4 linked regions of the Rhinolophus ferrumequinum genome follow. The protein of the gene in region 2 interacts with the protein of the main gene of each other region in a pairwise test. Links are inferred from orthologs where the notes say so. Each region holds a gene or a part of one and is shown on either strand. Other genes may lie near its edges. The genes, in order: RD3, EHMT2, KLF3 and MX2.

Region 1 (6,946 bases), on a different chromosome or scaffold from region 2:
CAGTGAATCGTCAGCCAGATGGACGCATTTAATACGTTATGACGATGTTCCAGAAGAAGATGACATGACTGTATTTGAATAAATGTAGATTGTTGTACATGAAAAAATAAGACATCCCCTGAAAATACGTCCTAATATGTCTTTTGGAGCAAAAATGTAAGACCCGGTCTTATTTTCGGGGAACTACGGTATATCTCCAATTGTTTTTAAAAACACGTCAAAACCTGCATTTCAATACAGCTGGTTTCTTTCGTAATCCTATGAACTTAATTTCATGCACTTAGAAACATTTTGCTGAAAACGTGTCCACAGGCTTCCACAGGGGACCATGGCACAAAAAGTAAAGGATCCTGGTTTGGTACAAACTTGACCCCAATCCTGATCCTGGCCTTGCCCCAACCCTGGCTTCTAGGGAGGCCTCCCCTCGCCTCCTGACCCCCATGAAGGGAAAGCTCAGGGGTAGAGCTTCAGTTCACCCAGCACCAATAGGAAGGCTCTCACTTGTTCTATCTCTGCCCTTTGGCGCCACTCCCCTGAGCTCTTTCTCCTTCATTCTCTGCCCTTCCTCTTCCACCTTCCTCTCCCCTTCATTACCCCTTCCACCCCCACACTCTCTGAGCCTTCCCTTAAGCCTATTTTTTAACATCCCTGAGGATGACATCTTTTCTGGGGCTCCCTGGGAAAAGCTACCACCAGCTGTGGCTCGTTAGATACTTGAATATGCTAGAAACATCATCTCCGTGCCGCCAGGGCAAGGGGAGTCTGGTTCTAGGCAGCGAGCAGCGGGAGGGGGACCAGGAGAATCTCAGTGTGGGTTGTGTACCCTTGGAGCAGGAAGCAGGACTCTGACTGCCCCGCAGAAGGCATGGGAGGTTTGCCTGACTCTAGCGATAAAGGCCACCAGCCCCCAGCCAACCAGGGAAGGACAGCTCAGTCTCTGCCAGGAAGCTGTTTTCTTGGTACCAAGACAGGGAGCCCCACCCAGATGCCACCTCTGAGCTGGGCTCTAACAGCTGAGCTGGACTCTGCAGGCCAGGCTGAGGGGTAACCGGCATGCTTCCAGGGACCCGTGGGCACCCACTGTCTCCCTGAGCAGGCAGGCTGGCTTTGCTGAAGCTGGATCCCGAGTCTGGGCAGAGGTCTTGGAGCAGGTACGGAGAGCAGGTGCTCCCCTCTCTAACTGACCTTCCTCCCAGCCCTGTTTGCCAAGGTCCAAGACCAGCTTCACAGACTGCAAATGGACCTTAGTTTTCTTTGGCATCATAGAAGAAGAATAACAGTAATCCACCAAGCCCGGTGTGACTCAGCCTCACCTGTGGGCCTCTGCCCACCTGACTAACACCTGCTCATCTTTTAGGACCCACCTCAAGCATCAGCAACTCTTTGCACCCTGCCCCTCACGGCACCCCCTGAGGTAGAACGGTGTGCCGGCCAGTACCTGCCAGATGCCATCATGGCATCTGTAAGAAACACGTTTCTCACTTTTTTTTATTGTTTTTCTCTCTCTCCACTTGGCTACAAGCTCTGTGAAGGCAAGAGCTGAATTTGTTGACTCTGCTGACAGGCAGTAGGCACTTGATAGGTGGTTCATGAATGAATGAATGAATGAATGAATGAACGGCAGTTTTCCTCATTCTGAGGCAGAGGTTCAATCAGAAGGGAGCAAGTACTCGGGTCCAACTGGCCATAGTTGGATGGGGTTAATCACCAGGAAACTCTGGCCTGGTCCCACAGTTGCCCCTTGGACTTTTCCTTCCCAGGCCAGGTCCTCTTCCTGGAGCCCAGCCCACACCTCTCTGTCCAGGCCTGCTCTCCTGGGCGTGTTATCGGGGACTCATAGAAAACTCTGTGGCTGGAACCCTGAGACCCACACATCACCCACGTGTCCTACCCACTGCTGTGTCCCGAGAGCCTGATTCTGCACCTCGGGCTTAGTAGGTGCTCAAGTTACAGCTCTCAAATTGATGAGAGAATGTCCGATTTGGGATTCACCTCCCTTCTCCTGCCTGGGTCCTCCCCCTAAAAACAGAAGAGAAAATGCTGGGGCGGGGTCCTCCCAAACAGACACGCTGGTTCCAGAGCAGACAATAGCTATGGCTTCCCATGGGTTTATAAAGCAAGGACACGCCACAGTTCGAGGATGCCTGTCGTGCAGGGTCTCTGGTCCCGCTCCCCACACAAGAATGCAGGACATGGTGAGGCCAAAAAGGAACACCCACGGAGCCATAGGTAGGGGAGTCACACCACTGTACTCTCACTGGCCGCTGGGTTGGAGACACAAGAAACAGGAGCCACACAATTCTCAACCCTCACTGCACAGCTTGCAGGCTCAGCCAGCATCTTCTTGCTCGCCCCCATTTTCTGCTAGCCTAGCCACGGCAGTTATATTAGTGCCCAATGGCTCACTGGTTACAGCTGACGGCCAACTAGCCACAGCTGATGGCCATTTGATCACAGTCGATGGCCATTTACTACCTGAGCCAGCACCTTTCTATGTAAGGCCGAGAGTCTGGAAACTGCTTTTTGGGGCTCTGTCCCCACAATGCCACAGAGACCACCGACTCCTGTGGAACAGCTCAGGACTGACAGGGTCTCCCTGTGGCCATCTGACCCTGGACTCAGACTGCTCAATAGACTGTCCTCAGCCTGCCACAGCCCAGAAGCTGCCTCTCCCAGCTCCAGGCTGACCGCCCTCAGCTCTCATTTCTTAAGGCACAGCTGCTGTCCAGGTGTGGAAGCCACTGTCTCCGGAGGAGACGCCCCTCTTACCTGGTTCTCTGAGGTCTGCCTCCACTGAGGTGAAAGGTCCAACAGGGGTCCTGCTTTCTGCTTCCCAGTCTGGGAGAAGAGTGTCTGGATCTTTTCAAGGAAAAGCAGAAACTTTGGAAGCCATGCATGGGAGGGCAGGGTAGAGAGAAGACTACATCCTAAGCGTCTCCTTCCTCTTTCTCTTCTGCTTCTGGCTGTGGCCTCATGCTTTCCCCTCTCTTTCTGCCTCTGAGAAGTTGTGCCGAAGAGAAAACAACACTGACCAGAGGAGGGATCCAGCCTGCTCTGTGTGTGAGTGTGTGTGTGTGTGTGTGTGTGTGTGTGTGTGTGTGTGTGTGTCCCAGGAGGCTGGAACCACGGCTCCTCTGAAGAATGGGAGGCAGGCCAGCTCCTGATCTGTGGTTGCCTGGAAACCCACCTAAGCCTCTTTTACCTCGTGCTGTATTATCTCTAGAGGGAGCCCTCTGACATGACGCAGACACCTGAGAAAACCCAGTGGGGGAGAGAGGCCTGCCTCCAGATGGCTTTCTCAGCCGCTTCCTCCCCCAGCTAAGGTGAGGGTGGCACAAACGGGAAGCAAGACCCCTCACTGCACCCTCTGCAGAGTCCTAGGTGGACCTGCTGTGGGCAGATGTTTCCAGCTACTTGGTGAGTGGTTCCTGGCTGGAGGTCTCCTCTTCCCACCTCCTCCCTCCACCAGGAGAGGGGCGATTCTGGGTGCCGAGGGCAGCGGCCTGAAAAGACGTGTCTTTACCCTAGTCTCACGCACCCTTACCTGTCCTCCTCTTTGCTAATCAAAATTCTCTCCTTCCCTCAAGGCAAACTCAAGTACAGAAAGTTATTCTGACTTTCTGGAGTTGGGGTGAGCCTGAGGAAGTAATCCAGGGAGAAGAGGGACCGTGAACTGTGGTTACTGACTTTGAGGTACTTGAGGTGACACACAGGGGCTGGCAGGGACCTCCTGTTGCTGTCTGGCATCCCACAGTCACAACTGGGCCTTCTGTCTGTCTCTGTGCTCTGGACACACTGTTATTTGCAGACTATTCTGGCTATGGCCACGTGAGGGCCAGCTTGCACCTAACAGACATTTGGTGGCACTGAAACGGATGTATGCTGCCCTGTGAGGGGCCTGGGGGAACTGTAATGGGCCCTAAGCTGCAGTATAATAGATCTCAGGTGATGCTATACCAGGTACCAGGTGATGGAGTGACTTCTGGGCAAGTCTAGTCCCGATCGTGTTGAAAATAAAGCAGAAATTAAACTATCTGATGAGCTGACTCAGCTTGCCCACCTGTCTGCCTGCATGTTTTTATTTTTTCCCTGGGTGATATGCCACTTCATGCTTGTTCTATGGCTGGTTCCATTGGGCCACCTGAATTCCTTCCTTCGTCATCTTCTCACGCAGGGGTCTTGAGTCAGGAGCCAGGTCATATTATTGCAGCACAACAGTCCTAAAGGTTGGGAGGGTCGCTGATCGGATGACAGACACACATTTCGAGCCGCTGAAGCTCACTTCCTCAGACCCACAGTGCCGAAGTGGCTTCCTCCCCACGGCCAGCTAAAGCACGAGCAACCTAGAGCAGGTAACTGTAAGTCCTCTGAGCATCCCTCTGCCATCCTGGCATGTCCCCAAAGGCAGAAATTCCAAGGAATTTCCATGCTGGGGGGAAGGGAGCGGCAGGACTAGAAGACTCTGTCCTCCCTTTGGGAAAGTTCCTCGAAGTGACAAGGAGAGGAGGCCAGTGATCAAGTTACACACTCCTTCAGGCAACATATATGTTGCAGCACTTTTCTATGCAGGCACAATGCTAGGAGCCAGCTGAGAAGGGGGATCCCACCCTCCTCCCCTCTCCACACTGCCCAGCCAAGCCTCCAGGAGGCTGCGTCAGACAAATAGAGAGTGGGGAGCAGGGACAGTATTAGAGTTCAGAGCTAACGGCTGTGCAAGCTACTACTGACCATTCTGTTAGAAGGAAAAAATTCATCTCTTTTCTATAGCCATGCATTTATCTTGCCATGCACCGTCAAGCACACACAGCTAATATAAAGGAGAGCCTATGAGTCAACGTTCTGAGCCATCTAAAGGAAGCTTCTGTTGCAGCAATGTGCCAAGGAAGATGTGAGCTTCAGGCTCCTGACCTGTGACTCTGGGGAACACACTCACAGACGACCAGGTGTTTACATCCTCCCTGCAGACCCAGCTGGCTCCTTCCTTGCCCTTTTCAGTGATGCTAATAACCAGGAGAGGGGGCCTCTCCATCCACCTTCCCTGCCCTGCCTGCTGCCTTGACAGTAACTCAAAGAGGACTTGCTGTTTTTGTTGACAGCTAATGTATTTTGATGCCTTGTCCTGTGGTGTGATTATCCACGCTGGGTGTGAATTTGTACTACAGACAGAGGTCGTGGTGGTTTTTCTCTCCTTTGGCATCAATGGAAGTGGCTGAAACGTAGTTAAATATGCAGCAACCCTTCAAATGGAGTAACAGCAGTGGGGCCCATGACATTGCCTCACAGATGGCATTTGATTAATAAATTGCAGATGTGGAATTATGAAGTTTTTGGATGTAAGGCTGGATTTAAAACTGGGGAGACATTGAAGAAGAGCCCTGATCCCAGATGTCAGGCTGTGCATCCTCATATGCGGGTGCTCCTCCTGTTCCCTACTCCCTGGCTTCTTTCCAGGCTGTGGGGACCATTCGAAACTATTTCTAACCACTCGGTCATGCACTGGATTTTCGGAGTCCTGCAGATGGTCCCTGTAGCTCAAATCCTGCATGAGACTGAATTAAACTGACATGATATCCAAAGGTACAGACCAGACTTGCGCTGACCCACACCTCTTCTCTCTGGGTAGCCCTCTTTCCACTCCTGTGGCCACATTTCCTCTCCCAGGTAAAGGAAGCATTGAACCTGACTTCAGGAAACATTAGAATGCTCACCTTCCTCCCAGCTGGCTTGCTTGAACCCCTGCCGCCCCTCTCTCTCCGTCTTTCCTCTCTTCTCCATTTAGCCTTATTCTGTTTAAAATGTATATCCATTAAACTAAAGGGAAGCAAGGAAAGAGACAAATGCATTCCTCATTCATTCATTCATTCATGCATTCACCGTGTTTATTGACCATCTGCTCTGTGCTAGGGAGCACCTTGGTGCCCCATTCTATAGAATTCATTCACCATCGGCTTCTTTTAGGTTCTGCCCATTGGTTTGACAGACTGATCTGAGAGCCTGTGGCAGAAAGAGCCAGTCCACCCAAGATTCATGCCCCTTTTCCCGAGTGAGGACATTTCTCAAGGAAGCAGCTAACCAGAGACTTCATTACCCAGCTTCCTTCGCTTCTAGGTAGGGCCATGTGATGAAGGATTGTGGGTGGACGGGATGTGGGTGGAAGAGCTGAAACACGATGACAGAGTGTCACCTTGTTCGACCTTAGCTGGGAATATGCTCACTGGGCAGGTCACATTTTCACATCGTGTTTCATCGCAAGGCCTGGCTTATAAAATCTCCCCGTCAATTCCCCACCTTCCATCTCTTCCCTCTTGCTGATGGTCAGCAAGGGCTCTGGGGGCCTAGAGGATGGCGGAGCCACAATTTTGAATGAGCCTCGGTCTCTAAATTAGCACGTGGAAGGCCGCCCACCAATCACCCATGTTGAATTCTCATATGTGCAAGAAATTGATTACATCGAGCTGCTAAGACTTGGGGTTTCTCTGTGATAGCAACTGGCACTACCCTAACTAGCGACAAGGGATAGACGTGGAACATTTCTGCCCTTTTCTTAGTTCCTGGAGCTCAGAGCTCTTCCTAATATGTTCCCTCCCAGGTTTTCCATCTTCATCCCAAAGAAATGAATGACTTCACCGCACATCACCTCCTGCCTCTATGCGTGACGCACACCCCGACCCAACGCCCTCCCACCTGGGGAAGTCTTACTGATCCATCGAAGTCTAGCTCCAGGGGCAAACCCTCAGTGAATGTTGCTGTCTCCCCAGCTGCTCCCCTCCCTTCACTCTCAGAAGCTTCATTCTTACTCCTGCACATGCCGTCCATCTTCATTATTCATGGATTCCATATTTGCAAATTTGCCTACTTGTTAAATTGTATGTGTAATCCCCAAATCAATACTTGTGGCACTTTTTCAGTTATTCCAGACATGTACAAAGCCTTGAAAAATGTGACT
Region 2 (7,952 bases):
TATCAACTGTAATTGAAAATTAAAAAAAATTATTTAAAAAGCCAGCTGAGTATTGAAAATTGTTGGAGCTGGGTGATGGCTACATGGGGCTCATTCTTCTATTCTTTTGTTTATACAGTTGGCTATTGAACAACACGGGGGTTAGGAGTGTCAACCCCCACACAGCCAAAAATCCATGTATAACTTTTGACTCCCCAAAAACTTAACTAGTAGCCTACTGTTGACCGGAAGCCTTACCAATAACGTAAACAGTTGATTAATACATTTTGTATGTTTTATATATTATATACTATATTCTTACAATAAAGCTAGAGAAAAAAATGTAAGAATTCATGAGAAACATACATTTACAGTGTTTATTGAAAAAAATCCACATATAAGAGGACCAGCGCAGCTCAAAGTGTTGTTCAAGATCATCTGTATTTGAAAGTTTTCATGATAAAACACAAAATAAAAAGCAAAACAGGCAAGACGCAGCATTATAGTGCATAGGCAAACATGTATGAGATAAACCAAGAGCAAAGGGATAAACGAGCAAACAACAAATAAACCATAAAATGGGATGCTAAACCTCAAGTCCAGGATGGTGGCCACTATGGAGAAGGGCACAGGGATGGAATGGGGCGCAGCATATATGGCAATAAGTTAACGTAGTGTGGGGCAGTGAATCAGGGGGTGTTCAGAAGATAAAAAGAGAAGAGTGACACAGGGGGCCACTGAGGGGTGACTGACACAGGGGGTGACTGAGAGTGCACCCGGACATGGCTGGCCCCTCTCACCTTGCTGTCAGAGTCCACACGCTCATCCACAGAATAGGCGTCATAGTAGAGGCTGAAGTCATCCGCCACCACCGTCTCCCACTCCTCCAGGGACCCAGGGTCCCTCTTGTCCAAGGTTATTTCTCCTGAACCCCGAGCAGAACCCAACTCCTCCGACTAGAAAAAGATCAGAACAATGGAAGCTCCTAGCACTCCCCCACCAACCAACCCATTTCCCTTGGAGCAGGCCCCCAGGTGGAGAGGCCTTGTTCCCTGCCTCTCGAGGCTCACCAGGCCACTTCCCGGGTTCAGCTTCCTCCTTTTGGCCACATCTGGAAGGAGAGAAAGCAGTGAGGCTTGTACCCTAAATCCTCAGGACTGGCCACATCAAGCTCCAGGAGGGTGGGAGGTGGGACTGACCTGAGGTCACCTTCCTCAGCGAGTGCATGTCATCACTCATACGGAAATGCTGCACTTCAGGTGGCCGCTTCTCAGGGACTGGGGGCTGGGGACCGAGAGGGAGCACACTTAGGGTCAGGGAAGGAGTAGGGTCGGTGGCCAAGATTAGCCTGGAGCCCCAGATGTGGGTGGGATGGTAGCCACACCCTCAAAAATGCCATCTGTACCTGCACTAACCAGAATGTGGCTATAACAACTGCTGTCTCCTGAGAAGTGTGTCAAGCACATCCCATACCTAACCCTCATTTCTCTCTTCAAGCATGCAGCAGGCCCTTTCTTCCCATATTACAGATGAGAAAACAAAGGTTAAGGCCTTGACCAAAGCTACCCAAACCACACCCAGAACAAAATGCTACCAAGAGCCCCCAAAACACAGTCATAAAGCTTGTGAGATTCTGGGACCTCTGTCATTTGTGGGCCATATCTCCTTCCCAGTAGGAGGTACAACCTTTAAAAATGAAGCAGGGGCAGTTTCAAAAACAGGAAAAAATCCTCTGGGGGCTTGCTTTGAGGTAGAAAGAAAGAGTGATTTGAAGTTTCTTTACATAGTCATTATCTTAAGAGTACTTAAAACATTGAACTATGTAAGTCTTTACTTTTGTCTCTTCTATTACGCTCTTCCCAGGAATTATAAACTCCAGGAAGACAGGAACCTGTTAGTTCAGATTAAGCCCCAACCCAGAATTTAAACAAAGTAGCCCCTTGATAAATATGTAAAACTGTGAACAGAGAAGGCCCAAAGCTAAATTGTAAAAAAAGCCTACAAGACGTTGAAGGTTGCTTACCTGGCCCTCCCATCCCCACAACCCTCTCACAATCCTCACCTGTCCATTTCCAGGTTTGGACATGGTTTTCCTGGCTCGGTGGACCTTGGGCTGCCCCTCCGGACTGGTTGTAGCTGGAGGGGGTTCAGGCCCTGCTGCTGCTGCCCCCTGGGCTCCAGGCATACTCAGCAGCCTCATCGCCAAACTCTGGACTGATGGGGGTGATTTTCCGGCCCCTGTCATTGACATCTTGGCACGGCTGGGACAGGCATTCCCCCTGCTGGGGGAAGCCGGGAATGACTTTGTGGCATGGCCTGGAAAACAGACAGGCAGGCAGGCAGAGAGAGGCAAGATAAGAAGGAAGGCAGAGTCAGAGGATACCCCACCTCACCCCCAGACTCCGAAGCCTCTCACCCAGCAGGATGCGTCCCCCTTGGAGGTCCCCATCTCCCTCAAGATTCTCAGGTTCATCCCCAATGGGCGGTGTGGCTCCTACAGGGGTGTCAGCCCCCTCATCGCCAACAGTGACGGTGACAGAGGCTGGGGATGAGGGGCCTGCAGCCTCCAGGGAGTCGGGGTTGGCCTTGGGCAGGGTCTCCTCACTACAAGGGGTGTCCCCCAAAGAGCCATGAACTGTAAGGGAAGAGAAAAAGTTCAGGGCTAAGGGCTCAGGGGATCTTGTATTTGGAGAGGTGAAGGTCCAGATGGGCCCGTTTCTGCTGTACTCACCTCTCTCGGTGGCTCCTCTGGGCTCCTTGTCCAGCACCAGCGCCCCCATTTCAGCGGGGGCCTCTCCCTGGGAGGCGACACAAGGTATAGGAGGACTGGTCAGACCAGTAGGAAGTTGGGGGGCCCAGGACGCCTGGGCCCTGGGGAGAGAGAGTAGGCTCCGGGGCCTACCTCTTCCTCTATGGGATCCCCCCCTTCCGCGGCCTCGGCTGCCGGGAGGGGCCGCACGACCCCTCCCCCGGGCCCGCATCAGCCCCCTCCCTCTCGGTAGACCCCTCATCTCAGGGACCGAGAAGAGAGGAGGGGGAGGGGGCGGGGCCTCAGCGCCCCGGCCCCGCCCCCTCCTCCCGGCTGCACGCGCCGCTCCCCCTTTGTCCCCCAGGCCGCGGGGACCCCGGGCACCAACCCCTCCAGCGCCCGCTGCCCCCCAGCCCGGTGGACGGCCCCTTGTGCCCCTCGCGCGTGCTCCTGGGGCCCCGGCGCCCGCCGCCCACTCCGGGACAGCCGGCGGCTGCACGCGCGCCTCCGTGCCCACTCCCCCCACCTCCCACCCCCTGGTCCCCTCATTCGCCCCCGGTGCTGGCCCTCCGGATTGCTGTAAGTCCCGCCCGGGCCCCCCGGCCCCGTTGCACCCCCGGAGCATTGCACGGGTGCGCGCTTCCCCCGGGCGCGCGCGCGGGCATGCACCCGCCTCTCCCCCTCCCCTTCCGCACCTCGGCGGCCGCCGCCACTGCAGCTCCCGCCGCCGCCGCCATCGCCGCTTGCGCTGGGGGCCGAGCCGGCGCGCGGCCGCCCCGGGTCACGTGGGTGGGGAGGGAGGGCTAGGAGGAGCCTTAAAGGAGCCACTGCACAGGCCTCTGGCCATTTTCCCCCGAGAGCGGCCTTGGAGATGGCAGTGGCTCCCCTAAGCTGGGCGCTGTGGGGGCGAATCCTGCCATTCCTAGCTTCAGCTCATCGGGGAACCGAAGGTGAAGCACGCCTGGGTCCGGGTGTGGGTCTCCATCCCCCACTGTTTTAGGTAACAAGCGGAGCGTCTGAGCCTTCCGGCTCTCGGCAGCGGCTGTATTTCCAATCTGGTCCGCGTGTGCTTCTGCTTCGTGTTGCTCTCTAGTTTCTGGGTCACCAGGCAGAAAGCTCGGCCTCAGTTTTGGCCTCGCTTCTCTAACGAGCAAGAAGGGGATGATGGGGACGCGCAGAGAACACTTTTACTCTTGGCTGGTTCTAGCATGCTGCTTCATGTCCCCCTTTGAAACCTGGGGCTGTCTCTTCTGTTTGTAACAGACATGTTATGCCACCACATGCACTAGGGATCCAGGTAAGCCTCCAGTGGCCCAAGGGTCATTACTGTCTAGTGACACTCTAGTAAAATAACCTTTTTTGCCAAACACTTCACAAGCATAGTCAGGCACTCCGTGGGTCATACATAGCCCAGCCCACACTGGAAGTATGAATGATACTAGGCCTTGGTGTACAACCTTGATAACTCTATTTAGGGTACCGTCCCTTTAAGTACTACTTCTGGTCAAAGTTAGGAAAACATCTGTTTGATTTCACCAGCAGTATTTGACACAGGCAGGTGGTTCGGATATAGGGCACCTGAGGCCAATTCAAGGCCTTCTGGGAACTGTAGTTGTCTTTGGTTAACTTTTCCAGAGCTTTCTGGGAATTGTAGTCTTCCCCATACCCTAATCCAAAGTGGTTTTTAGCTTTCCCGAGGGCGTGAGCCCTTTCCCCAGACCAAAAATGCCCAAACATAGGCTCCTGCTTACACTTTCAGTGGGCACAATGATCACACCTGTAGCATATCCCTGGACCTGATACCAAACTCCTCAGAGGAGCAGGTCATGTGTTACCACCACTGCCAAAGAAATCACAGAACACTTGTGCTGTGAGCTGTCTGCCAGGTGTGGAAGTTGCAGAACTGGGAGGGTACCTGTCAGAGGAGCCCACTTGTCACACTGCTCTTCTGCTGTCAAGGCTCCTTTAGGCATGGGACCTGCATGAGTTTTGACTTCTGGGTATTGAGCAAATGAGAGGCTGTCTAGGGTGGGTCAGTCATTTACAAGCAGTTGCCAGAGTATATAAAGAAAAAAAAATTGTTCTTTTTTTATTTTGTGGAAAACAAAAGCAGAAAAACTAAAAGCCCAAACTCCAGAAAAAATCCTAAAAAATACGTTTTGTTTCTTTAAAAAATACTGTATGTCTCTACTCCTCTCCCTCCCCCCAAAGAGCCCTTCTTGTGTCCTTTCATCTACGTGCCCTACCCCCCACCCCCTACTATTTCTTGTTCTTGCTATTGTACCCCACTTCCCAATATCTACCTAGGATGCTCACCCATGTTCTCTTACCTGCCACCTTACTTGTTCTCCCTAGAATTTTAGTGAGCCTTGTACCCACAGTCCCATTCTCCCAGCATGCAAGACCTGTCCCCACTTACTTTCCTGGGATTCAATAATCCTTCCCCCTACCAGTCCCTTTCCCAAGGATCTATTCTAAGCAGAAGCTTGTGAGCTGCCTCCTGCCAAATTCCCTCCCGATTCCCTCCCACCCACCCCTACCTCAAGAAATGTCAGACCTCTCCCTGGGAAGGCTTAGCCAGTAATAAAACATTTTCCAGTCTTTTTTCCTCCTCATTCTGTAGGACCCTTTCCCTCCCTCCACATTTCCATGCACCTCTAAGAGAAGACAATCTTTCTCTGGGACCCCATATTCCCTTGGCCTTCTCCAAGAACTCTCTGCCTCTCCATCCTTTTCTTCTGAAGATGCAGGATCTTCTCTCCAAGGAATTTGGGCGCTTCCCTCAGGATGTGTATGTCTGCTCAGGCTCCCCACCGTACCTGTTTGTCCCCGACACACACCCCCTATTCTCCTGGGCCAGGGAGCCACCTTCCCACCCAACCCAGGAACCCAGCGCCTGCCCGGCTAGCGGATGAGAACGTTGATCTCAGCCACGCTGGCCTCCAGCACGTTCTCGGCCGTGGTCTTGCCGTGCTGCTCCTTGAGGTGCCGCCTAATGGCAGGCTTGTGGGCGAAGCGCACGTCACAGTAGGAGCAGCGATAGGGCCTCGCTCCTGAGTGAAGGTTGAGGTGGTCGTGCAGTGTGGACTTCTGCGTGAAGCACTTGCCGCAGATGCCACAAGAGTGTGACTTGACGCCGCGGTGCACGTTCATGTGGCGGTTGAGGTTGCTGCTGTGGTTGAACTGCTTGCCGCAGCGCGGGCACATGAAGATGAAGTGTTGTGCCCGCATGTGGAAGACCAGCTTCTCCACGCCCTGGAACACTTCCGGGCACTTGGTGCACTTGATGTTTTTTAGGGGGTTTGTACTGGAGAAGCCCCCTGGCAGAGGGCCCCGGCTGCCCCCTGCCCCCAGGCTGCCCCCCGCCCCCCGGGCAGCCATGGCCACCGCTGCTGCCTCTACTAGGCCCGAAGTGGCCCCCACGCTGGCCCGGCCTCCGGGGATCAACAGCAGGCCCTCCCCTTCTGCGTCCTCAGACAGGCTGTAGCAGGCTTTCACCACACCCTGTGGTGGGGCCACAGTGCTGGGGGGCACGCTGCTCTGGGCCAGCTCCCCCAGGTGGCTGCCCACTGAGCCACTGATGCCCAGACCTCCTCCTAGGCCTCCGGGAGGTTTGAGCCGGTGTGCCACCTCCAGGGCCGACTCCACCTTGACGATGCAGATGTCAGACACATCCTCGTCCTCATCCTCATCCTCTTCCTCCGCCTTCAGCTCCAGGTCCTCATCCAGTGGGAACTCCAGCTTCACAGGCCGCAGCAGCGGAGGAGGTAGAGGGGGTGGGGGGGGAGGTTTGGGGGCTGGCTTAGGGGTCCTGGCAGGAGGAAGGAGGGATTTGGTAGCACTGACACTGCTCACAAGGCTGGCATCGCTGACCCCATCCTCTTTGAGACCTATTTTGGGCTCAATGAACTGGCTGAGGGCGTTCCGGCATTTCTCTACCACGTGCTCCATCTGCAGGTAGGAGGCAGCCGTCAGGTAGTTAACGATATCCCTGACTGCGAATTCCAGGGCACCCGTGTAACAGGAGAGCAGGAGGTCGGCCACGATGCGTGCACTGTGCATCAATGAGACCTGCAGCTCAGAGCTGGGGTTCAGCAGGAACTGGTCCCGCAGGAAAGGGGAGCAGGCAGCCAGGATGACCTTGTGGCCGCGGAACTTGAGGCTGTCGGCCACAATGGTCACGTCGCAGAACCGCTCCTCTGCGCGGAGCTGGTTCATGTTCCGCAGCGTAGCGGCCTCGTGGCCAGGCAGCTGGAAGCGCAGGACTTCCACCCCAGAGGCCATTGTGGCGGGGGAGTGGGCAACCCTGGTTGGGAAGGAAACCGGTCAGAGACAAAGGTCTCTGGCTCTCCTAAGCCAAGGCTCCAGGCCCCTCGCCCCCATTCTTGCCCGGTCCCCCAGCATCACATCTCCCAGTCTTCAGGCCTCTTCCTCAGTTTCCCCTGCCCCGGGGGGAGGCGCTGTCCCTCCGAAGGGAGGGAGGCGTGGTTCCCGGGGGCGGGGCAGCGGCGTCCATACCCCCAGCCCAACCGCACCGCGAGGATGGGGAGAATCCTCGTGCCCTCGGAATCACAGAGGAAGGGGTAGCAGAGGCCTTGGACTCTAGGCTCTGGGGTGCCCAGGATGCAGGCTCTTGTCACCCCGCCCCCTTTACTCGCTGCCTCTTTCCTCCGCCCCCCCTTTGCACGTTTGCACGCGCCTTTCACGTCCTCCCCCCGCTGCCTGCACGCATGGTGCACGCCACCCCCCCCCCCCCGCCCCGCTCAGAGCTCCGTGGCACGCCCCCCCCAGCCCCACGACCCTGAGTGCACGCGCCTCTCACCTGGCCCGGGTCCGCGCGCTGTGTTTTTCCCCCCCTACTTCCCCCACCCCCCCGGGGCCGCCGGCGCCCCCACACTCGGGCAGGGCCTGGGCAGCGCGCAGGCGCGGGGGTGCACAGGGCGCGCGCGCGGGGCCGGCTCCGCGTGGGCGTCAGGGGGGAGGGGCGGGGGTGGCTCGTGCTGTGTGTTCCAGGCCCCGCGCGCGGCGGCCGCGACGAGAACTCGGGGAGGAGGAAGAGGGGAGGGAATTAAAGGAGCAGGAGTTCCCCCCTTCCCGACCCCCCTTTCTTCACCAGCCCCCCCCACACGGTTAAAGGGCCGGACGACCAGGCCTCCCCTTTGGCCGGTATTATTTGTCCGCCAGAGCGGAAATACGTTCCACATCCCCCTCTTTCACGCTCCCC
Region 3 (7,521 bases), on a different chromosome or scaffold from region 2:
ATCTTAAGTGGTATTTCTTATTCTGTTTTCACACCCAGTTGTGTTTACGGGAAAATAAACAAATACAACCTCAACCTTTAAATACTAGGAATTAAGACATTATTCTGGAAATTGGGTTTCTTTTTGAAGTGCTTCATTTATCATTGGTTCTAGCTTAAAAACAAGCAAGCAAACAAACAAACCCTAGAGTCATAAAACAATTGATATCTGCTTTGCTAATAGTCCAGTCAAAATTCCACTTGGAGTGAGGTGGAAGGGGAAGTATTATGATGTTTTTTTAGCATTCTCGTTTTCAAGCCTGATGTGTCCCTTTCTTAGACCCAGTCTGTCATCTGAAGCAGGAATGTCAGAGAGCCCAGAGACAGGAAACCAAACAGCAGTCTGCTCTGATAGGGGAGCGCATTGTCCAAAAGAGGTAGCCCTGCTTCCCTGCCTCCCGCCCCCAACTCTCCTTCCTTGAAATTTAGCAGTAATGAAAGAAACACAATGCTAGAGACACTGTTTCTGAGCCAAAACTAGGACTGTTTTCTCCCAAAGCAAAACGTGTCCTCCTAACTGGCCCTCTGCTTTTTCTGGAATGTCACCGTAGTTTATTGGAATTTTTTTTTCTTCTGAATTTATCAGTATTATTTCATATCCCTTGGTCAGAGTGTTTAATAGTAAACTTCTTTCTCTAGCAAAACAGGTTCCTGGAGCTTTTTGAAACTCACTCCATTGTGTTGACAGGCCAAATACATGATCGTGGCCCCCACCTAATTATTAGGGGAGCTGGAGACCAACTGTAGCAGGTTAAGTGGCCCTTCGGCCCATGCCTTCCACGTAACCCTGGGTCTAGCTCTTACCCTGATTTCCATGAAGGGAGTGCTTCCTGAGGCAGCCCCCTTCCTGGAGGACTCTTAGAGCCCAGCTTAGCCTGGGACACACTCAAGATAGTTGTCAATCTCTGGCAGGCCCAGGAATCTCCAGGGATGGCCTGAAGCTAGTCTCAACTCAGATCAGTGGAGTTTGGCCAAATCGAGACATACAAGATCAAGCGGACATCGAGGTCAGTGCATCTACCCTGGAGAGCGACCTGTGACTTAGGTGTGCGTTTTTTCTCCTTTGGCCTATATGTTCTTTCTTCTAATTACTGTCCTTTGAGTGTAATCACCGAAATCCACTCCTTTATCTGTACTTGCACTTTACACCCTGATACCTTCCAAAGTGTTGCACCCCAAAATTACTTTCATTAGTTCAAGTTCCTGTTCCACTTAGTTCTCCAAACAAGGGAGTTTTTCTCTCCTCTCTGGGGAGCCTCCCAAAGTTTTCACCGTGTTTTTGGGTTTCAGGTTTTAGAAGATGATTTTTCAGGCTAGGTTCACTGGTCCCCCAGGCAAATTTTCTCTGTGTGACCCGTGGTAGATGGTCATTCTGAGGTCCTTGCCCTTCATTTTATTCTAGCATGTGAGAAGTGTAGTTTGACATCCATTCCTGTGTGCATCTCACGAGTATTTTTTTGAGCACCTATTTATTAGAGCTAATCTCAGATTATGTGCAGTCACTCTTCTTAGTTATGCCACAGAATGGAGTCGGTCTAGAGAGCCCTGCCCCGAAAAGGTGTTTTGAAATCTTAATTGCCCTGTGGAACCTCCCCATGGCCTTGCCTGGCACGGGCCAATGTGGCACTGCACATATCCCACACCCTCCGCCCAAGGGAGTGACCCCAGTGTGAGATGATTTTACTTAAAAGTCAGCCCCACAGCACAGACTGAAGCAAAACAGAAAGCCCTGGGTCTGCAGGCAGACACACTTCTGTTCTTGGCTGCAGCTCCAACCAGCTCTGAATTTGGGCAAGTCATTTCACCTCTGTTCCTCCATTTCCTCATTTCTAAAATGGGGATGAGGACCTGACCCTTCCACCTTTGTACAGTTATTATGAGGATTTCCGTATTTACTTGGGTAAAGCTGCCAATTTCTCTCAGCAGTTTTATGGACCAGTGCAGGTGCATTGGCCAGGAAGGATAATAGCCTAATTTGGGGCCTTCAGAATGTGTCTTTTGATCTTGCGTCCAAGCCTGCACTTGCAGAGAGAGGGTAGGCATCAGGGGCCAGGTGGGAGGGGTTGAAATCGCCACTACTGTAAATATACTGTCCCCATTTTCCATATCCCTCTTGGACAGATCTGTTTGCACAAATTGCTATCCCACTATTGCTGTTTGTGTTGTGATGTTGTTCTCTGCCTGGGGAGGCAGAAGAGCAGGGTGCCAAATGTACCTTGAAGTCAGACTACTGTGGGTTCAAATCCTGGCTCTGCAATTTAGCAGCTGTGTGATTTGAGGCAGATTACTTTACCTCTCTGTTCCAGTGTTCTCGTCAGTAAAATGGGAAGGTAATACACATTTCATGGGCATTAAATCACATGGTCCATGTAAAGAACAACACCTGGAGATTGCCAGTCATGAAGATGGTGAGAATCAGCAGGAAACGTGTGGCATTACTTAGCATCTGGCTTTCCTTGGTTGAGGGAAATATCCTTTTTTAAAAAAAAAACCTAGTTTGTTTTTTTTGGCTCCCTTCCTCTCCCTCTTCATGTAATCGCCTCCTTTCTCTCTCTCTCTCTCTCTCTCTCTCTCTCTCTCTCTGTCTCCTATTTTAGGCTCTAAAACAGTAGAGACCTTGACACTAGGCTTGTTTAGAAGATCTTTCCGGGTGGGTAATAAAAAATTCTTTGAGGATGATACTGACAAGGTCTCATAACAGGCAAGCAATAACTTTTCAAAAATAAGTTTGGTTTCCATTAGTGTTAGGACCCCCTCACCCCCATTACTTATTTAAGGGAGATTTCAAGTGCATTCAGTGGGAAAGGGAAATGACTGTGTGACTCCTCCTCTGGGCTAAGTGCTCTTATATTCACTCCTTATGAGTGTTTTGTCATTTAGTGACCAAGCCTGATGGCCTTTGGGGGAGCGGGCAAGTTAAAAGGCTCAGCCTATCCAGGTAAGAAGGTGGCCTCAGATCCACTGGAGTGCGATCAGCTGGCTGCACAGAATGGGGAGCGCCTTGAGCTGGTCTTTGAAGAATTAGGAGGATTTAGATAAGCCGGAAAGGAAGGGGATGGGGCATTCCACGCTGGTTGCCCAGCATCAGGGCCAAAAATGAACAAAGGCATGGGGTGGGGGCAGGGCAGCCAGCAAGCAGCACTAAGGGCGCTTGTTGGAGCAGGGGGCAGCTGGTTAGTTAAGGGGTGCCCAGCATGGGTGCTGGAACCCACTCCACAAGCCCTGGGGATCCTGTTGGAGGGAGGAAGGTTTGTGAACTTGGGAAAGGCTAGATGAGAAGAGGGCTTTGAAAAATGTAGGTGGCGAAAGGGGTCAGGATGGATTGGAGGGGCCAAGGGACTAGGTGGGAAGACAGTGAAGGAAAAAGCTCCAGGAACACAGCGTTAAGGCACCGAGGACCTGGCCTCCAATGACAATAGTAGAAATGGAAAGAAAAGTTGATGAGGAAGGCTTAAAAGATGACCTCTAGGTTTCCATGGTGATTGACCAGCAAGTAAGTGCGGAGGAGGGGGAGAATTTGGATTTGGGACATGTTGAGTTAATTCTCTTACATAGCCACGGTTCCGAATGCATTGCTTTTGAAGGGAGAGGGCAGTCTTAGCTCATGGTTCATATCCAAAGCTGCTGGGGTTCTATGAGATGAACTCTTAATGGCAAATCCTCAGGAGCCCAGGAAATTGCCACCACCCTGACGATTCTTTCTGGTTATTTTTAAGGTTCCAGCAGCCATCACTGCTGAGGCCAGAGTTTCCAGGAACTGGCTCCTCACTGGAGCCAATTGGTCCCTCCCAACCTCCCACTCCCTCTAGGGTGGGGCCCCATGGGTGGAGGCTCCCAGGGTGGAGTGGGGTGGGTCTTCAGTGATAGGGCACCGAGCAGAGAGGCAGCCTGGCCTCACGCAGGCCTTCTGGATTTAATTATATAATACTTCACAGAAGAGAATTGCCAGGACTTAGGCCTTGTAAGATAATGCACACAGCAGGATTATACATTGTGGGTAATTTTCATAGGATCTTGGGTTGCTTGCCCTTAAAACTAAAATACGAAATTGTCAGCCTAAAGAGGGAAAACCAGTGTGTAACCTCAGTAGGGAAAATGATTAGCATTTGCTAAAATTTCTTTAAGAAAGGTGTGGAATGCTACTAGCCAGGTGCCGGCGAACTTGAGAGACTTGAGAGTTTACTTACAAGGTGTGGGTTGGGTTTCCCCACCCCCACCCCTGCTTTGCTGGGCCTCAGTCTGCAAATGTGTAGGGACTGCTTGGCTGTTACCTTTGCACCTGTCCTTATTTACATGCAAAATCAATTGCTTCACTCGGTCTTTCCGAAGTACAGGGTGTGGGCAGAATCTTATCTGAAGCCATGTCCTGTTTGGACAAGTTGGACTTGCCTTGGCAACTCTCCATAGGGTGGAGCAGATGGGTGGAGGCAGGAAAGTAAAATTGGGTGGCTTGTTAGTTGAGAGAGAAGAGAGGGCGGATTGTTTGCTCACTGGATCATTATATTTAATTTGAAACTAAATAATTAACTTCTTTCCCATTTACAAAACATTTTGATGCAAAATATCTAATTTATGAGGGGCAAAGATTTAGACATACTCCATGGGATTTTTTTTTTCCTTTCAAACCAACTAGAGAAGACTGAGGTAGGTGAAAATCGTCAATTGATATGAAAACAGGACGCATTTCCAGGTAGGTGCCAGCATTTGGCTGTTCTGAAAGGAGCCTGCCTCCTTGCATCTGTTGCCTGGCCCTTTGTATTTCTGGCCAGAGCAACTGCCATTAAATATTCAGCTCCTCAGGAGCTTGAAGAGTTTGGGTACAGAAGTAAAGAAAGAAAAGTTTCTTTGGAAAGGAAGTTTAGCTTCAGGGATGTTGCCCGCCCCCTCTGGTCCTCCTCCTGGCCAAGAATTACACATACACACAGAGATGGGGGTTTTTATTCTTTTCTTTTTTCTCCTGGAGTTCCTTTGGGGATTAAAGGGTGGGGGAAGGTAACATGCTTCCTCCTTGACTATCCAAACACTTGGGAGAGGTGGGGGGTGGGGTGGGCACTTACAGATGGTGTGTTGGTTTGATCCTGCTGTTTTTCTCCTTACACCTGGCTTAGGTCAGCTAGGAAACAGATTGGGGTTGAGGAACTCAGGTCATTTGGAACCATGGGATCAGGCTGGATTGGGGAAGGACACGGCAGGAACCCTTTGAGGATCTGAGGAGCACAAGATATGGAAAGGGCATAAAAAGGGAGATGACGAGAAAGGAGCCTGTCAGAGGCAAATCCTGCTATGTCACCAAGAAACCAAGCATTCTCTCTCCACATTTATTCTCTCCCTTTCTCTCTGTCTTCTAAGGAAGGGGTGGGAGGGGCGGAGGGCAGTCATTTATAAAGTTGTTTCTGAAATAAACATGCTCTAGCTTCATAACCTCCTTCCTTAGGGGCTGTGTGTGTTTCTAAGCTCCGTAGTGCATTTGTACCCTCATAAAGCATATGGGACTGAATAGGATTGTGAGATGCAACTATCTTACTTACGAAACTTCATGTGAATGATGCACTGCAGCTATTTAATACATAATCATGCAGTTTTCCATTTGGGCAAAAACCTGACCCTGAAAAGTCAGAAGTATAAGTGCAGAGAGTGTGAAGGGAAATCTGTTTCTTTCTTTTGGAGGAAAATTCAGCTGTATTGGCTCCTCCCAGCAAAATAACATAGTTGGGGAAGATGACACTTGCTCCACTTACAGAAAATTACTTTGGCAATGATGTTTCTGTATTTTTGCTTTTAAGCACCCGATAACTTAGAAGTTTTTAGAATCAGTTTTGCCCTTTTTGTTTTTTGAATGCAAGTTTTGTTATTCTGGGATTGCTTAGTTTAGAATATAACAACTAAGATGTAAATGTGCTTGTGATCGGAAAATAGTTGTAAGAAACAACAGAACCACATTTGGGGCCTCATCATGTCTGTGATACCCACATAAAATGGTTAACAGAATTCCTGAGCCTGCTTTAAACCCACTAAATTTAACTGAATTAAATCCACTAAATTGGCAGACTCAGTTTGCTGCCACTGTCCTAATCTCTAATACCTGTTTTAGCACGCCACCTACTGGTTCTGCGTAAGATTGCTGTCAGTGTTGTGTAATAGGTTTTCTACAGCATTTGTAGTTTTTTTTTAACATTCTTTTAAAGTCATGGTAATAGCCCAGATCACTGAGCTGCCCATGTGGAACTAAAACCACTAAATTTAGGCACCCTAATTCTTCCAGTGCTTCAGTTGCTTCTCAGTTACATGGAAAGCACTTTGCAGACATTGCAGTCCCATAAAGTTAATACCAGTGGCAAAAGTGGTCTGTTCAAAGATAGGCACAGTGGGTAGGTACAGAATATATGAGTTTTTTGCAAATAAATAAAAGCTTGATTTGTGTTAATGTGTTTGATTCTCTTCCTAAATTTGGTTCCTTTCTAGCTGAGCTTCCCTCACCTGTTTTTGTTAAAAGTTTTAGTTACAGAATTTAAAAAATTTTGAATTGGCACTCAGATGTGTATAAAGCTGTCCCATCTCCACCCTACTCCCTAGAAGCTCTTATCAGATTAGGGCACACCGTTTTCTCCATATGTCCTGTATCTTGTTCCATGCCCTGTGACTATCACTGAAAGTATAATCAGCTATTCTAGAACTGATAGCTTCTAAATTGGGAACAAAGTGCTGTTAGACATGTGAATGGACAGTGAATTTGATTCTGTTCATAGTGACAGTTGACTTTCGCACAGACTTTTTATTTTATTGTCTAGTGATGCGTTATTTAATTTGGAGTTTCAAACTGAGGTATTCTTATCCTGTCATTCCTTCTTCATTTATTAGCTGAAATACTTCTATATTGAGAAATGTCCCTTCATCATGACGGAGTTACTCTAAGATACAGTTCTGAACAAAGAAACATACCTTTACAATTCTTTTTTTTAAAAAATAAAAATGAATCAGGTTTTGTTAGAACAAATGCTTTAGACTGTTGTTTTCCCCTTATGATTACAAGTCTTGCAAAGCACTAATTTCCTTACATTTTGATAACACATAAAAATTAAAGAATGAAAGTGATTTCAGTAATGTCTTCCAATGGTACAAGGTATAGCAGGTTAGTGTGTAATTCCTGTCTAAATGGAGTCAGTAGTCGTTGCTACAGGCCTTAGGAACAGTCATTAAAGGCTTTATGCGCAAAATGGTGGAGTTAGGATTTGACCCCAAATGAACCCCAGAGCCTGTCGTCTTAATTCCACTGTGCTGCTCTTCCTGGTGGTGGAGAGCTGGAGGTGAGATGTGGGGATGCTAGGAAGGTATTGCAGGGGTGCAGTTGTGAAGGGCCAAGGCCCTACCTGAGAGCTCAGACGGGATGTGGGCAGGGATATGGCAGCTATTCACGGTTAAACTGCCTGGGGCAGAGGGGTTGTCCTGGAAGGCTACGTGTGTTAGCCTAGAGGCAAACCCCTGA
Region 4 (7,474 bases), on a different chromosome or scaffold from region 2:
CAGACGAGGCCACCTGCAGCTGCTCGCCTGGAAAACTTGGAACACATGTCAAAAAATATGTCCCTCTCTGCAGGGGCAGGTGTCAGGGGTGGTAACCAGCCCCCTCTCTGGGTTCCAGAGCCCCCGAGAACCCCTCTGGAGAGCACCTGTGCCACCACTGAAAAGGCGGCAGGGGTGGGCAGGGGCTGGGGGATGCAGGGGTGAGTAGGGGGAGCACGGAGGATGTTTCGGGCAGTGAACCAACTCCGTGTGATGCTCTGATGGTGGACACACGTCACTGTCCATCTGTCCAAACCCACAGAAGGCCCAGCGCCAAGAGGGGCCCCTGCTGTAAAGTGTGGGCCCTGGGTGATGACGATGCGTCACTGCAGGTCCATCAGTTGTAACAGAGGCCCCACCCGGTGGGGACGCTGACGGCGGGGGAGGCTGTGCGTGCATGGGGGGCGGGGGGGGGGGGGGGAAGCGGGGGCGTATGGGAAACCTCTGTGCCTTCCCCTCAGTTTTGCTGTGAACCTAAAGTGATCTAAAAAAGTAACTTTCTTATAAGGGGAAAAGAAGCTGCCAAGGAGAAGACTTAGATGGGCAACAATCCCTGAGCATCCTGATTGCCCAGTCCCTCTGTGGGGTGAGCCTCAGCCCCACCCCAGCAGAGGCTTGGCAGGCCCCGGGACAGCACAGCTGGGGGCCGGGAAGCAGCTGCCCCTCCCACACAGAGAGAGGCCAGCGCCTCTGGCTTTCTGCCCTGGGAGGAAGGCCGGAAACGTAGGGTTTTTCCTGACCCCTCTCAGCACTTTTATTACCAAGATTCCTGGACTTTTGACACCACAAAATCCTAACAGATATTGTTCCTGACTGTGGAAAGGGTGTCACCAGCTGAGACACTCCGCCTGAGTGGGCCTTTGTCTCACTCTAGCACCAGAGCAGGGGCACAGCCCGCCCCCAGGCCACTCAGCCCCCTCCTGTCAGGCACCATGCAGGAGAGCGGACAGGATATTCCTGTGCTCAACCAGCTTGGCGTGACCCTCCATCATTCCTCCTGGCACCCGCCTTGTTTTGAGGGTCACCATTATCACCCCCATTGGAGCAGGTGGGTCCCAGAGAGTGAGGGGTCAGTGGCCTTGGACCCCAAAGTGCCCTGCGGGAACAAACACCTGGGTAAGATCTGTGCCTGTCCACTGGACTCCCGGGCCCCCTCTGAGGAAACATCCATGTGGCCTCCTCTGTCCACTGATGTAGAGAAGATGTTAAAGAAAATTTGCCTTCATTGGTGGTTGTGAGCTTTTGTCTATTAGCGTTTGTCTGTTTCTGTATGTGAGGTGATTTCTGTGCTGTGATCAGGGGTTGAGTAAATTCCCCCTTTGGTCTCCTTCTCCCAAGCAGGGGAGACATGAGATGAGGTTTGTTGTTCAGTCCATGTTGTGAGGTGATGGTTAGCTTAGGATTAAAGAAATTCTTGATCAGGGGTGGAGAGAATTCCCTCTTTGTTCTGTCTGTTTTGCCCACATCAGCAGATGAAGTGAAGAAGTAGCTAAGTTATATCAGGACGACACAACAGGCACATTGCCAGGCTTTAGAAGACCTTGGGCTGAAGGTCCCAGCAAGAACAGTAGATATTGCTTGTCCGGATGAATTGGCCCTTTGGCTGGATGGGCAGCATTCATATCAGTAACTGCTGGACCCTCCCGGAACTGGCCATTCCCCGAGGGAGAGGCAGGAACAAGAAACTTGGCTCTAAGGTGAATGTGAGGAAATGTATATGATAGACCTCAGTTTGCAGTGTCACTATAATTATTGTTCCATCATCTGGTAATTTTGTCATTGGTGATTTCTCGTCATTCTAACATTGTGAAGACCTCCAGCAACATGCAGCTTACGACACCCGAGGAGGTCCTGACTTCCAGCCGCGAGCCTGGTGAGGTCTGGCTGGTTCCCGGCCTCTCCAGTGTTGTTCCCCACGGTTAGCCTTCTTGAGAACTTGTTAGCATCTAGAAAACTTGTATGCAGCTTGCAGCTTACAATATCAGAAGACGCCCTAACTTCTACCAACAACAAAGACCTCAACAGCAGTCTTAGGAACTAGCAAGAAGCGGTGTGGGAGATGCCTGAGTTTCTCTCAGCTACAGACCTGGCAAGGTTTTGATTTATGACTTTTCCAGTGCTGTTCTCCCCCGGGTTGGTGAGATTTTGGCATCTACTGTAATAGTTACTATCCTACAAAGCTTATTACTGCTTTTGGGTACTCCTTACTGATGTTATTTGTGTATTTAGCCAAGTGATGTTTGATCAATAGTAAACATATGTTGGGATCTCTTAAACTTATATGTATGTGGACTCCTTTGACGTGACGTTGTTATCAGTGTATAGAGTTTAGTCTTAACCACCTTTCTGTCATTAGCACATTCTATTAATTGCCTTTGTCTTTTGCTGTTGCATATTGCTGAATAAATTGATTAGCTATTGCTAAATAACTAATCAATTAGCCTCCCTAGTGTGTCCCTCCTCCTCCTTTTCCCCCCTGCTCATCATTACAACTGAGAAAGCAAACTCCGAAGGAGAGGCCCGTCCGAGGGTGGGCACACTCTGCCCCCGGTGGCAGGGAGCTTCGTAAACTTGCAGGGGCCCTGAGAACGGGTCCCTTCAGCTGCAGTTTGAGCATCAGCTGACCCTGGTTCCTCCTGGAGAGGAGTGTGTTGGAGGGGATGCCGTTTTCCACAAAGAATGGAGGGTCCCCCCGCCGTTCTTGCTGCCTCCATATAAGCTGCATCATTCTGCCCAGCTTCCAAGGTTCCTTCTGTTAAAAAAAGAGACAGCAGGCCCAAAATGGACTCATTTGTGCTAAGCTATGTCACCAAACCGATGCTTAATACCTAACCTAACTGCAGTCCTCCCCCAGGAATGTAATCTTAAATGATCAGTTTGGAATTTCCTGGTCAGCAGTAGTAGATTCCACTACAGTCATCACTGTCATCCACCCCATAGATCAACCCCTCGGGTCCCCCCAAAGAAAAATGAGGTAATCTGCTTTTTCCTTCTCCCTGCCCCCTTCTGTCTATGAAAAGCTTTCATTCAGTGCAGCAACTGGGACTCCTTTCTATTTGCTGGATGCGATGCTGTGTGATTCATGAACCATTGAATAAAGCCAATTTGATCTCTAAATTTGTTCAGTTGAATTTTGTGTGTATTCCTTTTTTTTTTTTTTTTTTTTTATGCTTCACTTGTGCCTTTCCGGGAGCCGCAGAGCGAGCAGCAGGGCCTGTTATAAAAGACCTAAGTGGTGAAACAAACAACCATCAGTCTGCAGAGGGCCCAGTCCCCTCCCCAGCCCCTCCCCCCCAGCGGCCCCATCCTCGCGGCCCTCACCCCGCCCCCGCCCCGCCCCCTCAGCCCGGCCCCCACTCCCCCTTCCCCCCTCTCCCCGCCTCCAGTCTCGCGGTCAGTGTGGGATCCTGCAGCCCACCGCTTGCCCCATGACCTCCTCCGAATGCCGGGATTTAAAGAACATCTTTGAAGCCTCCAGGTTCCTTCTTTAAAAGGAAAACCTGTCCACAAGGGCAGTCAGTAAAATGAATGAGCAAGGAGGTGGTGAGAATGAGTTTTGTTCATGTAACATGTTTTGGAGAGGACTGCGTGAGTGGAAATCAGACTGAAGCCTGCTCCCTCCGTCCTGCGCCAGCCCCGCTTCCCCGGGGCTTCTCCGGGCTTCCAGACCACCGCTCCCACCCGCGGGTGGGACTGCCTCGCTCGCCTCCATCCACTGCCATCGCGGGGGCGGGGAGGGGGCCTTGGGACACCTGGGGGCTCACTGCATTTTGGCAGGCGCGGTACCTGAGGACCAGAAAATCAGGCCGCCTCAGGGCCGAGTTCTGGTCTGGGCCCCGCCCTCTTCCTGCCACACCCGGCGGCGCGAGGCCTCTCCGGGGCTTGGGAACCTTCGCCAGTGGGAGAGAGAACACCTTGTACAGGTGGGTTAATTGCCTGACGCTGTACACTTAACCTGGGGGAAAGGTGGCAGAGGGTGACATCGGTCTGCGGTGGCTCAGGCGGGAAGCCAGCAGGACGTCTGAGAACTTTCAGATCACACGCTTGAGTGAACTTGGCCGCCCCCCCCCACCACCCCCCCACCCCCGTCTGTGTGAAACACCCAGCTTCTCCCGCACCAGCCACATTTCAAATGCTCAGTGGCCTCCTGTGGCTTGTACTGGACAACAGAATGGAACATTTCCAGCATCGCAGAAAGTCCCAAGGGACAGCGATGCTCGGTCACTGGATCCCCAAATGTGGGTCGACACCAGCTTCCCCTGAAAACATGGTTGCAACGCAGGTTATGCACCCCACGCCAGGGCTCGGGCATCCGGTCCCCCCACCTGCGGGGTAGGTCCAGACCCCCCATTGTTCACGAGCAGCCCCAGAGATTCGCCCGTGGACCATTATATGAGTCACCCACGAACTTGATCTCCAGTTTCATTTCCGTGGCCAGGGCATTTGGTTTCATTTCTCCGGCTGTTGGTAAAGAGGAAACAGTGGGGAGGAGGGGTTCGCACACATATAAAAGGGAAGCCCTGGACGGGAGACAAGGGATTGGCCCAGTGTCGGTTCCGAAGGCGCACAGGTGAGAGCTGGGCTGGGGCGGGCGGGCGCGTCACGCCGCCGTTTTAGCGCAACAGATGGGCCTTTCCGAAGGAATGCCTGGTAAACCTGGCTGGTGCCAGAGGCAGGTGCCCTAAAGGTCGGATTCTGACGCTGCCCTGTGGGACTCTCCTTAAGCCCCGTGTTGGCGCTGGCCCCCAGCCAGCCCCTCTCGCTGAGGGTGCGTTTTACAGAAGTGGCCCCCCTTCCCGAATCTGGCCAAAAGCCTTGTGGCCACGCAAGGGGCACTTCTTGGGACACTTGCTCAGCATCCGTGGAGGGCACACATCCCGGGGTGGGGCGGGAACTTTGTGTCTGTGCAATATTGTGATTTATTGGAAGAAATACTGTGCATTACATCCTCATAGTTTGAAAGGTGCTGAGAGAATAGATCTTAAAAGTCTTTATCACAAGGAAAAAAAATGTTGTAACTGTATGGCGATGGATGTTAACCAGACTTATCGTGGTGATCGTTTTGCAGTCTATACAAATATTGAAAACAAAAAATTCAGTAGGTTACCTGGTCTTCATCCTGGTTCAGAGCTTGAAACCCTTGTGACTTCTTTAGAGGGGAAAGTGTTGTCTTTTGTCATGTTAATGAGGTGACCTTTGGTCTATTGGGGCCTGGTTGTCCCTGGAACAAACCAGGTGGTTAGAAGGTTGGGACTTTCAGCTCCACCCCCAACCTCCAGGGAGGGAGAAGGGTGGGAGGTTGAGTCAATCGCCAATGGCCAATGAGTTAATCAATCACCTATGTACTGAAGCCTCCATAATCACCCCCAAAAGGACGGGGTCCAAAGAGCGTCCAGGCTGGTGACCACGTGGGCATTCAGGAAGAGGGGCACCCTGGAGGGGGCTCGGGAGCTCTGTGCCCTGTCCTCACACCTTGCCCTGTGCCTCTGCCTGTTCCTGAGTTACATCCTTTTGTCATACACCAGTAATCCGGTGAGGAACTTGTTTCTCCGAGTTAAGTGAGCCATTCAGGCAAATTAATTGAGCCCAAGGAGGGGTTTGTTGGAACCTCTGATCTAGTCAGTCAGAAACACAGGTGACAATCTGGACTTGCCCTTGGCATCTGAAGTGGGTGGGATGGGGGGGCTGGAGCAGTCTTACAGGACCGAGCCCTTACCTGAGGGATCTGATGCCATCTCCAGGTCCGTAGTGTTAGAGTTGAGTTAATTGCTTGTTGGGCTGGGGGATGAAAAACACCTGGGAACTGGGATCAGGCTTGCAGCCCCAAAGCCTGGCATCCGGGCTTCAGGGGCCCTCTCAGTTATGGTACTGGTGGCCCAGGGCTGCCCTCGGTGGTGTGCGGAGAACTCCACCTTCTGAGGGGACAGGGCCCTGACTTCTGGCATTTGCTGATGCTCTGTGGTACCAGGTAGTGCTACAATATTCTGCCTTCAGTTCTTACTTAGAGAGACATTGATGCCAAGTGTGCCCAGCAGAGTGGGATTTGTGGGGAAGAGATGAGTTGTAAACAAACCTAATCTCCTCCTAATCTACACCTCCAGGTGTCAACAAACCTGGAGGATTATGTCTTGGGGCTGCCATGACAAGGTTTAAACAATTGAAAGTATTCTCTCCCCCGGCCCTGGAGGCTGGAAGTCTGAGATCGGGTTTCCCAGGTTGCTTCCTCCTAGGACTCGGTGTAGAACCCTTCCTTGCCTCTTCTAGCTTCTGGTCGGTGCCAGCAATCCTTGGTGTTATTTGGGGAAAGTATCTCCAGATGCTGTGGTGGCCTCTCCAGATCGTGCCACCAGCCAGAAGAAGAAATCCACATGGTCACCCAAGACATGGGGCCAATTGTGGCAGATTTTTCTGGACAATCAAACAGTCAGCTCTTGCCTTGCCGAGAACTGGGGGGTTAAGCAGAGGACAGGGTGAAGGCGTGGACTTGGGTCCTTGCGTGATCTCATCTTCTTTCTCTTTCCTGGAAACTCCGTGAATCAGATGGTTGTTGTTGTATTCTGCTTTTAGGATAAACCAATTCCTAATTAGTGTGGAAGGAGGCAAAATACCCCCACAGGCCTGTCTAAAGGATCATAGAGATTCAACACAAGATGCCAGGTCAAAGGGGAAACAAGTTTTTAGTTCATCACAGTGCTCTTCACTCTGCAGCTGTAGTCTCCTCAGCAGACCCAGGGCCAGGAGGCCATGCTGGGGATGGACACAGGGCACTGGGATTCAGGCCTCTGGGGCCTGCAGAGACTCCTGGTGCTCAGTGAAGCATGCGGAAAGCTCAAGCTCCCCCCGCCCCCCACCAAAATAAAAAACAGCCTACAGGAAGAAGTGCAGGGCAGAGGGGCTTGTCTTCAAGAGTGCATTTCTGAAGTTTGCCCGTCTCTTATGGTGTTCGGCCATACCGTTCCAAAGCCCGAAAAACTTGACTCTTCCTTCTTTATCAAAGTAATGTATTATTTACTGGCCTCCTGCGTCTGTCGCCTTCCAGCCATGGGCCATGGTGTCCTGGCTGCTTAACTGGTCTGAACTCCACTGCCCCTTCTCATATAAAATTCGGGATAATGTAAATGAGATGTGCAAACCACATAGCACTTGGGGAGGGCACACCAGGGCACAAATGACAGCCAAGCACGCCCTGGACCCTTGGGAATTGTGCCTGACCAAGGGTGCAGGATCTGAACTGTCTCTTCTCCTCTCCCAGAAGAAGAGGAGCAGCGCCCGCTCCTGCAGCATGGCCCCTCCGCAAAGTCACGGCTCGTGCGCTTACATTAAGGAGGGTCACATACTCCTTGTTTTATTTCCTTGTATTGAGGAGAGTAACTAAGTTGATGGCATGTCCTTGAGGGCAATTTGATTTAAAACAAAACAAAACCACAACAAACAG

The links.
Region 1: the proteins of EHMT2 (region 2) and RD3 interact in binary tests that used the Homo sapiens proteins (3 or more experiments, as listed by UniProt). The two-hybrid records come from large-scale screens. The link is inferred for Rhinolophus ferrumequinum from reciprocal best matches to the Homo sapiens genes EHMT2 and RD3.
Region 3: the proteins of EHMT2 (region 2) and KLF3 interact in binary tests that used the Homo sapiens proteins (3 or more experiments, as listed by UniProt). The two-hybrid records come from large-scale screens. The link is inferred for Rhinolophus ferrumequinum from reciprocal best matches to the Homo sapiens genes EHMT2 and KLF3.
Region 4: the proteins of EHMT2 (region 2) and MX2 interact in binary tests that used the Homo sapiens proteins (3 or more experiments, as listed by UniProt). The two-hybrid records come from large-scale screens. The link is inferred for Rhinolophus ferrumequinum from reciprocal best matches to the Homo sapiens genes EHMT2 and MX2.

The regions. Positions count from the first base shown.
Region 1 is NC_046305.1:20,547,748-20,554,693, reverse strand, and holds the start of RD3 (protein RD3), read right to left. Parts: upstream 3,003-6,946; 5' UTR 2,770-3,002; intron 1-2,769.
Region 2 is NC_046286.1:2,354,078-2,362,029, forward strand, and holds the start of EHMT2 (histone-lysine N-methyltransferase EHMT2), read right to left. Parts: upstream 3,019-7,952; 5' UTR 2,991-3,018; coding exon 2,711-2,990; intron 2,615-2,710; coding exon 2,396-2,614; intron 2,296-2,395; coding exon 2,042-2,295; intron 1,264-2,041; coding exon 1,179-1,263; intron 1,091-1,178; coding exon 1,050-1,090; intron 936-1,049; coding exon 780-935; intron 1-779. Other genes in the region: ZBTB12 (zinc finger and BTB domain-containing protein 12), read right to left, coding at 5,633-7,012. UniProt on the Homo sapiens protein: Histone methyltransferase that specifically mono- and dimethylates 'Lys-9' of histone H3 (H3K9me1 and H3K9me2, respectively) in euchromatin.
Region 3 is NC_046288.1:61,378,027-61,385,547, reverse strand, and holds the start of KLF3 (Krueppel-like factor 3), read left to right. Parts: upstream 1-4,512; 5' UTR 4,513-4,610; coding exon 4,611-4,682; exon of another isoform or gene 4,683-4,728; intron 4,729-7,521. UniProt on the Homo sapiens protein: Binds to the CACCC box of erythroid cell-expressed genes. May play a role in hematopoiesis.
Region 4 is NC_046285.1:105,548,942-105,556,415, forward strand, and holds the start of MX2 (interferon-induced GTP-binding protein Mx2), read left to right. Parts: upstream 1-4,473; 5' UTR 4,474-4,609; intron 4,610-7,474.